Linked DNA regions of Caenorhabditis elegans. The protein of the gene in region 2 purifies or fractionates together with the protein of the main gene of each other region. This does not show direct contact. Each region holds a gene or a part of one and is shown on either strand. Other genes may lie near its edges. The genes, in order: C35D10.6 and ttc-1.

What was found.
Region 1: the proteins of ttc-1 (region 2) and C35D10.6 fractionate together in Caenorhabditis elegans (co-fractionation; one large-scale study listed by BioGRID). This does not show direct contact.

Annotation. Positions count from the first base shown.
Region 1 is NC_003281.10:4,857,171-4,861,336, forward strand, and holds C35D10.6 (NADP-dependent oxidoreductase domain-containing protein), read left to right. Parts: upstream 1-2,168; 5' UTR 2,169-2,173; coding exon 2,174-2,233; intron 2,234-2,281; coding exon 2,282-2,427; intron 2,428-2,765; coding exon 2,766-3,144; intron 3,145-3,186; coding exon 3,187-3,384; intron 3,385-3,435; coding exon 3,436-3,516; 3' UTR 3,517-3,602; downstream 3,603-4,166. Other genes in the region: C35D10.7 (ULP_PROTEASE domain-containing protein), read left to right, coding at 1-171, 217-271, 496-1,193, 1,369-1,521, 1,577-1,727, 1,921-1,967; C35D10.10 (Thioredoxin-related transmembrane protein 2 homolog), read right to left, coding at 3,673-3,832, 3,881-4,166.
Region 2 is NC_003279.8:10,674,604-10,678,818, reverse strand, and holds ttc-1 (TPR_REGION domain-containing protein), read left to right. Parts: upstream 1-2,007; 5' UTR 2,008-2,015; coding exon 2,016-2,141; intron 2,142-2,481; coding exon 2,482-2,610; intron 2,611-3,121; coding exon 3,122-3,223; intron 3,224-3,274; coding exon 3,275-3,541; 3' UTR 3,542-3,651; downstream 3,652-4,215. Other genes in the region: lonp-1 (Lon protease homolog, mitochondrial), read left to right, coding at 1-120, 172-430, 823-1,062, 1,109-1,351, 1,401-1,565, 1,613-1,756; C34B2.3 (Protein kinase domain-containing protein), read right to left, coding at 3,995-4,075, 4,123-4,209.

The DNA.
Region 1 (4,166 bases), on a different chromosome or scaffold from region 2:
CCAAGTGTGCGGAGAAAGAGAAAATCCGTCGAGAATATGTGTCATGAACGAGAGCACCACGGGGATCATTTACAGATGCAAGTAGCTTCAGTGATTGCATCGAACCTGGGACCCATGGTGGAGATTGTGGAAAAGAAGCTCTTGCAACACAAAAATGCGGAAAAACTTTTGGTAAGCAACTGGAGTAAACTTGATTACTGAATATTTCTTTTTCAGAACGATGGCCGGGAAGTTTTCATTAAAACGTTGGAGGAACATAATCAGAAAAAAGGTATTGTGATAATAATAACATTTATTTGTCTCTGTAATAGCTATAGTGGGTGTCAGATGCTTTACATATTTTTGATTAATTTCTTTAAAGGCTCATTGTAGGGAGACACTTTTATTTTGATGATAGGAACTTTTCACAGCACATGTGCCTTCCATGTAGCTTTAAAAAATATGTTTCCACTGATATATAATCTTCCGCACTTTTTTATCTAAAAATAATTTCAGAAAAGGTTGAAAGAAAGGCGAAGCTCGTAGCAATACCACCAATGAAAGCTAGAAACAGGAGGTCTTCACGCAATAGCTTGGTGTACATAGATGGTCCTTCTACTTCTGAAAGTCATTCTTCAATGGTTCAACAAGTTCCCATCATCGACAACATTCCCGAAGTGCTCGAAAATGAGACAGCTGTCTGTTCCATTTCTAGTGAAGCAGATCATAATTCGAGAGGAATCAAAGATAATCAAGAATTTGCAATTGAAATCAGTGGGGAAGTGTCTCGAACCGACGACATTTGTGATGACTTTGCCGTGTTCCTCAAAAAATGCACAGTACTATTGACGAAATTTATTGACTCCTACTATGATTTCCGTTCAACTATGAAACTTAAGCCAGAAGATGCCATTGAGCACTGGAGTGCTGAACGTTTGACCAAAGAGGAACACGCCGCGAGGGTCACAAGATTTGATGTGGCGATCGCTAGAGCGACACGTGTGCAGTATAACATCGATATCAAGCTTCTAACAAAGCAAAGTTTTGTGTTTGACGATGATCGTGAAGCTGCCATTAATAAGAGGCTCGCCCGAATCGAGCGTTTTGTGAACGAACAACATGAAGAAATCAATTGGTTTTGTTTTTCAAATTTTTCACTCATGGATATTGGAGAAACGAAGGATAGATATTGTCTCGGCGATTTTTATGACAAGGTATTACAACTTTTAAAATGTAAAATGGCCACGAAATACTGAATTTGATAACGAGACTGTTTCAAAAATTAATTTTTTTTTTTTTGAAGTCTTGTTGTAAAATTCGGTTTTTAGGGTCATTTTAACTATTGAAACAACACAAAAGTTTGATATATAATGTGTATTTTTTTCGCAGGCTATCAGTATGATTCCAAAAGTGAAAGATGTCCCGAGTGTGGTGCAACTGGCGAAAGAGTGTAAGATGTGGTCCGCATTTGAACGAATTCTCAAGCAATACAATTTTGAGCCGCTGAAAGTTTTTGAAGAATTGCAAAAAATGCTTGAAAAGGTACATTTCAGTTGTTCTGTTCGAATTTAAATGTTTACATAAAATTAATTTTCAGGATTATTTTCTACCGAAAGGTAAGATCTTCTGCCAATTCTTGCTCAATGTCGCCCAACTGTTTTCCTATGATGTCGTTAAGAATGAATGGTCTTGCATCAAACAAATCGACGGGACGTTGTTTTCGGGAGTCCCATTTGATCGCGATGGAAGTGAGTTGGCTGAAAATTATTGAAAAAAAATTAGAAAATTACATTTTTCATCTGAAAAATTGGAAAGTTAGTCTGAAATTCTGAAATATCACAAAAGAAATGCGAAAACGATAAATTTAAAAAAAATTAAAAATCCAAATTAAAAAAAAAACCGAAAACTTCAGATAATCATAATAATCTATGTATTTTTCAGATCTACTCCCCACTTCTCAAAATTCGCCGACCGAATGCTCTTCTTGATTGTGTCATTTTTCTCATTTTTCCATGTAACACATCTAATCATTTCATTTTCATCTTACCATTTTCATATTTTAAACTTGCTGCACAATACATTTTTCCTTTTAAAAATCGTTTTTTTTTTCAGTCTTTTTTGGTTTGAAGCCAACAGTTATTTATTTACTTTTAAACAATTATTTCAAGTGTAATTGTTTTGCTTTTCAGGATCAATGGAGCATCGTGAATATGTTAAGAACAACATGCCATTGATCGGAATTGGCACGTGGCAGGTATTGACTTCGAATAAATCAATTTTTTGACTAAAAAATAAATTTAAGGTTCAAAAAGAAGAAATTCTTCGTCAAGTGATTGATGCAGGTTTCAAAGAAGGATATCGATTCATTGATACGGCACAAGTCTATAACAATGAAGCTAAAATTGGTAGAATCTTGGAAAAATTGCTTCCAGCAAATGGGTTGAAGAGGTAGGTTTTAAAAAATTTATAATTGTTTCTAAATCTTTTTTTAATCCTGCGAGAAAAAACTGGTTTTGGTGTTTCTTTGATTTGAAACCCATTTTCTCTAATTTTCAGCAAATTGTTTCGCTAAAAATGTTTAAATTGAAAAATGAAAAAAAATTCGACAAATTATATTCTAAACCAATAATCAAAGCAAACATTTAAAAAAATTTAAACTAGGTTATTCATTCAATATTATGTAATTCAAATATAGTTCAGCCACTTTTAATCTACAAAATTGAGAAATAATTTTTAAAAATTCAATAAAACCACAGAGCCACCAATTGAAGCTATCTTTTTTTCAGAGAAGACATCTGGATCACGTCAAAGTTAGCCCCATCTAATGCTGGCGTTAAGAAAGCTCGGGAAAGCATTGAGGAGTCACTGAGCAATCTTAAAGTCGAATATTTGGATCTTTTGCTCATTCACTGGCCTGGAAGTTCCCTGAAAAGCGAAAATCCGGCAAACAAGAAACTGAGAGTGGAAAGTTGGAACGTTATGTGTGAAATGATGGCTGAAGGAAAATTGCGTTCAGTTGGGGTCTCTAATTTTGAGATTTGTCATTTGGAAGAATTGAAAAAAGATTCTAATGTTGTCCCAGCAGTCAATCAAGTTGAGTATCATCCTCATTTCCATCAGGACGATCTGGTCAAATACTGTAACGAAAATAACATTCATTTCCAGGTGGGATTTTTCTAAATCTCGCTCTCTTGAAGTTTTTTTCAGGCGTACAGTAGCCTTGGCAGCCCAACATATCGTAAACAATTATCCGAAGAACCTCTGATCAAAGAACTTGCTCAAAAGTACAATGTCGAGATTCCTGTGCTCCTTCTTGGATTTGCTTATTGCCAGGGAATTAGCGTACTTCCGAGAACTACAAATCCAGAGCATGTTGCTACCAATTTTAAAGTTACTAAGCTGGCGGTCTGTTTCTAGATGGTTTTTAGTCCTAATGTCTAAAATTGGGATTTACAGATTACTCAAGAAGACATCGATCGTTTATTGGCTTTGACTGTCGAACACAAAACTTGCTGGGATCCTCGCGTAGTGGTTTGATTTCCAAAATCATTTATCATTATAAATTTAAAGCTACAAATAATCCTCTATATTCTAAATAGATGTATAAATTTTAAATGCCGAGTTATTATTTCTTGTTGTTGAAAGATCTCGTGATTGAGTCGTATATGGAAATTTTGAGCTGTCATCGAATATTTAATCTTCTTTCTTCGCTTTCGCGCCTTTTTTCTCCTTCTGCTCATTGTACAAATTGAGAAGATCGAATGCAAGAACACAGTTCTCTTCACTGAACACAAATGGAACAGCACGACGACTATCGTTGACTAGTGGACGACGAGCGATTTCCTTTGCGTCCCTAGAAATTACAGATTGGTTGAAAATTAAAATAAAGCTTAAATCTTACTTGAATACACAAATAGTTGGTAACTGTCGTGACATTGGATGAGCATTCACACGGAACCGCTCGCCTTCTTTTGCCCATCTTCCAATATCCAATTTCCCAAACTTCATGTTTGGAAGTGTGAACTTTTGACTCAATTCCGCAAAAACGGGTGAAGTATGTCTGCATTCTGGGCTCCATGTTGTGAAGAATTGAATAACCCAGATGGTATTTCGATTTCTGGTAAGTTCTTCGAAAAGCTGTTCACCTTGGAAATATGTCACTTGCTCTGGACCGTTGTACACGGGTT
Region 2 (4,215 bases):
CAAAATCGGCGGAGCTGGATTCCATGGAGATCCCGCATCGGCACTTTTGGAACTTCTTGATCCAGAACAAAATGCGAATTTTAATGATCATTTCTTGGATGTTCCAGTTGATTTGTCTAGGTTTGAAGATGCTTCTCCTCTTGGTTCTATAATTTTATTTCTAATTTTCAGAGTTTTGTTCATTTGCACGGCAAACGAGATTTCAAAAATCCCGGGACCACTTCGTGATCGAATGGAAATGATTGATGTTAGCGGTTATTTAGCCGAGGAAAAAGTTGAAATTGCTCATCAACATCTCATTCCTCAACTCAGAAAAGACACATCTCTCGCCACAGAACAACTGAAAATTGAAGATTCTGCGTTGGAAGAGCTCATTAAGCATTACTGTCGTGAATCTGGAGTCAGAAATTTACAGCAACATATTGAAAGAGTATGTTTTGGTAAAAACAGGACGATCCGCGAGACCCGAAGAACTCGGGGGATGTCCAATTGGGGGGATTACCAACTCGGGGGATTGGCCCCGCCCACATAACCGTGGCTTGCAATACGCCCATTTCTGCAACTGCCGCACGGTTTTAAAACTGTATTTTTCTCAATAGAGCGAGAATTAACAAGAAAAAATAATTTTTAAACCGTGCGGCAGTTGCAGAAATGGGCGTATTGCAAGCCACGGTTCTGTGGGCGGGGCCAATCCCCCGAGTTGGTAATCCCCCAATTGGACATCCCCCGAGTTCTTCGGGTCTCAGATCCGCGCCTCGAGTTGATTGTTCTGTTTCGACAATTATATTTAGATTGCTTATAGAAATTACCTTTTTTTTCCAGATTTTCCGTAAAGCAGCTCTTCAAATTGCTGAACAACAAAACGAGGATGAGGAGCCAGCCGAAAAAGCAACAACTGCTATCACTGAAAACTCAGAAGCCGAACCAATCACCTCTACATCATCTGCAGATTGTTTAAAATCTTCAGCCGAACAAATTGTAGTTTGCACAGAAAACTTGCAAAAGTTCGTTGGAAGACCCAAATTCACATCAGATCGAATGTATGAAGTAACACCGCCTGGAGTAAGCGAAAAAACTGTTTTAAAAACTTAATTCACGTTCCGTTCAGGTGATAATGGGTCTCGCATGGACAGCAATGGGTGGATCTGCACTTTATATTGAAACTGTATTGAAACGACCTGTTGATTTGACAAATGATAAGGATGGAAGTATTGAAACAACTGGAAATTTAGGAGATGTAATGAAAGAAAGTGTTCGAACAGCGTTGACTGTTGCAAAAGGAATTCTTGCAAGAGAGCAACCCGATAACAAATTCTTCGATAAAGCACATATTCATATTCATGTACCCGAAGTGAGCTTAATCTTGAAATAATTTCAACTAACCAATTCCATTTTTCTAGGGAGCAACACCAAAAGACGGACCATCTGCAGGAGTAACTCTTGTCTCAAGTCTTCTTTCACTCGCTTTAGACCGACCTGTTGTGCAGGACATGGCGATGACTGGTGAAATTTCATTAACCGGAAAAGTGCTGCCAGTTGGTGGAATTCGGGAAAAAGTGATCGCGGTGGGTCCTCTGTTCTTTTTTCGTTCAAAAATTTCATTTTTTTTCAGGCTCGCCGTGTCGGAGCAAAACGAGTCTTCCTTCCAAATGAGAATCGTCGAGACTTTGATGATTTACCAGAATTCATGAAATCAGAGTTGGATATTCGATTCGTTTCGCATTATGATGAGCTCTACGAGCATCTCTTCCAATAATACGTGTCCCTTTCTTTCACCCCCAGTTAATACCTTTCAGATAGATTTTGTTGATTCACCTAATCCATTTTTTCTTGTTTTGTTATTTTAAAAACGTTTTGAAAAGAAAAAAGTTCAGGCTATAAACATTTTCCTACTTTTATTTTTGTTTTTTTTTTAATTTTAATAATCTCAAGTTGTTTGATCTTTTCAAATATTTTTCATTTAAATTCTAAATAATATTCTCTTTATTTAAAAACCATTATTTTCAGCTTTAGAAATGGCAATTATCGAAGAAATTTTCGAGGATGAAGAGGATCAGATAACAAAAGTGGATTCATTGAAAAAAGAAGGAAATAATTTCTTTGCGAATGGAGAATTCGAAAAGGCGAATGAAAAATATCAGGTATTGGAATGTTTTGCAAACGTGCGGCGCGGTTTGAAGCTTGTCGATTTACGCAGGATTTTGTACTACACGTGGACAAGTATTAATTCAATTTTCATATAATTTTATAGTAAAGAAAACAATAATTTGAAAAACAAAAATTTTGATTTTTAAAAATATCGAAAAATTACAAACAAGAATTTTAGCTGAAAACTACACAATCATCTCAAAAAAAATCCCCACTTGTCCGAGTGTAGTACAAAATTCTTCGTAAATCTACATGCATACAACGCGCCGCAGACTTGCAAAATTAACGGCTTGATCGGTCTATTTCGACAGTATACAATTGAAATTTTTCCAGGAAGCCATTGCCTCGTGCCCTCCAACATCCACAGAAGTACAATCGATTCTTCTTTCAAATTCAGCAGCTGCACTTATCAAGTTAAGAAAATGGGAATCTGCTGTGGAAGCTGCGTCGAAATCAATTGAGGTACTGAAGAGAGCATGAAATATTACACAGACGCGAAATTTTCCCAATTTCGACCACAAAATACGGCCTTGTCACTAAAATTTGGCGTTAAAATGAATAAAAGTTTGCAGCTTTAAGTATTTCTGAAATTTCCAACAAAAATTTCGATTTTCATTTTTCCTGAAAATCAAAAAGAAAAGGGTTTTGAAAATTGACAAAAAAATCCTTTTCTTTATCAAATTTTGTTTACTTTTACGAAAAAAACATCAGGAAACACATAATTATCTTCTACAAGAGGAAAAATTGGCAAAATTTTAAGATATTTTTCAAAAAATTAAAAAAAAATCGAAATGTCGGAAAACTAATTTCTCATAAATCGAAAACCCGGCTCCTATAGTTGGAAACTACAGTAATCCTCAAAAGGCGTCCTTTTGCATTTAACAAACGGTTTTCGTGTTGAGACCCTTAGATAGCAAAATTTTGCGACTTACTATTAGCTAGTTAGCTTGAAACAAATAAAATCAATTTTCAGATTGGAGCAACCAACGAGAAAGCACTGGAACGACGGGCGTTTGCATACTCGAATATGTCAGAAAAGTATGAGAATTCTATTGAAGATTATAAACAGTTACAGGTATCGATTTTGGTAGATTTCTTTTTGAAATTAGAAGTAAACTTTTTCCAGGAATCTCTTCCAAAACGCCGCGTCGAACTTGATCGGAAAATCGCTGAAATCAATGAGAAAATTAATAATCGAAATGAGGCGATGAAAGCCGATGTGATGGAAAAACTGAAGGGTTTCGGAAATTTCTGTCTATCGCCGTTTGGGCTCTCGACAGACAGTTTTGAGATGGTCCCGAATGGAAATGGAGGATTTTCGGTTCAAATGAAAGGTGCTACGAATAAACAAGAAGGTGCAAGTCAGGAAAAGAAAGAAGAGGAAAATGCATAATTGGCCGACATTCTTTGAATTTTCTGTACATTTTCTATCTGCATTCCGGTTAATAGTCTTCTTGCTTTCAATTTCGTGATTTTAAAGATTAAAATGAACATTTCTATTTGTATTCGTGAAATTTTAATCGCTCACACTAAAATGTTCTCTGGTCTCGAAAAGATCGAAACTTTAAGGCTACCGTATCAGGGATGGAGGGGATCTACAAAAGGGTCATTCCTAAATATATGATAACTCATCTTTTGAAATGAAATTATATCGTTTACTACAATGTAACTACATATAAAATGCAGTTTCGTTCTGTTCATATGTAGTTTGATCTCTGATCTTTGAACTCTCTTTTCTCTAGTTCTGTAGATGTATTGTACTGGGAGTTTATGGAATAACGTTATAAGATATAAAAACACTTTGAATATTCAAAAAAGTCAATTTATTTCCATAGAAAGAGAGCTATTAGGTTGCCTGCTCCACACTTGGCTTCTGCGGATTCTTGAACTCGTTGATCTCAGCCTCCTCCCAATCGTACGGGAATTCCTGTAATTATGATAAATGATAACACTTTTATTGTGTGAAAGACATACATTTTTGCCACTGAAGAGAATCGCGTTGGTGAGAAGTCCGTAGATTTCTGTGTAGTTCGGAGTGTCGGTGAATGAAAGTTTGTCAACCTGAAA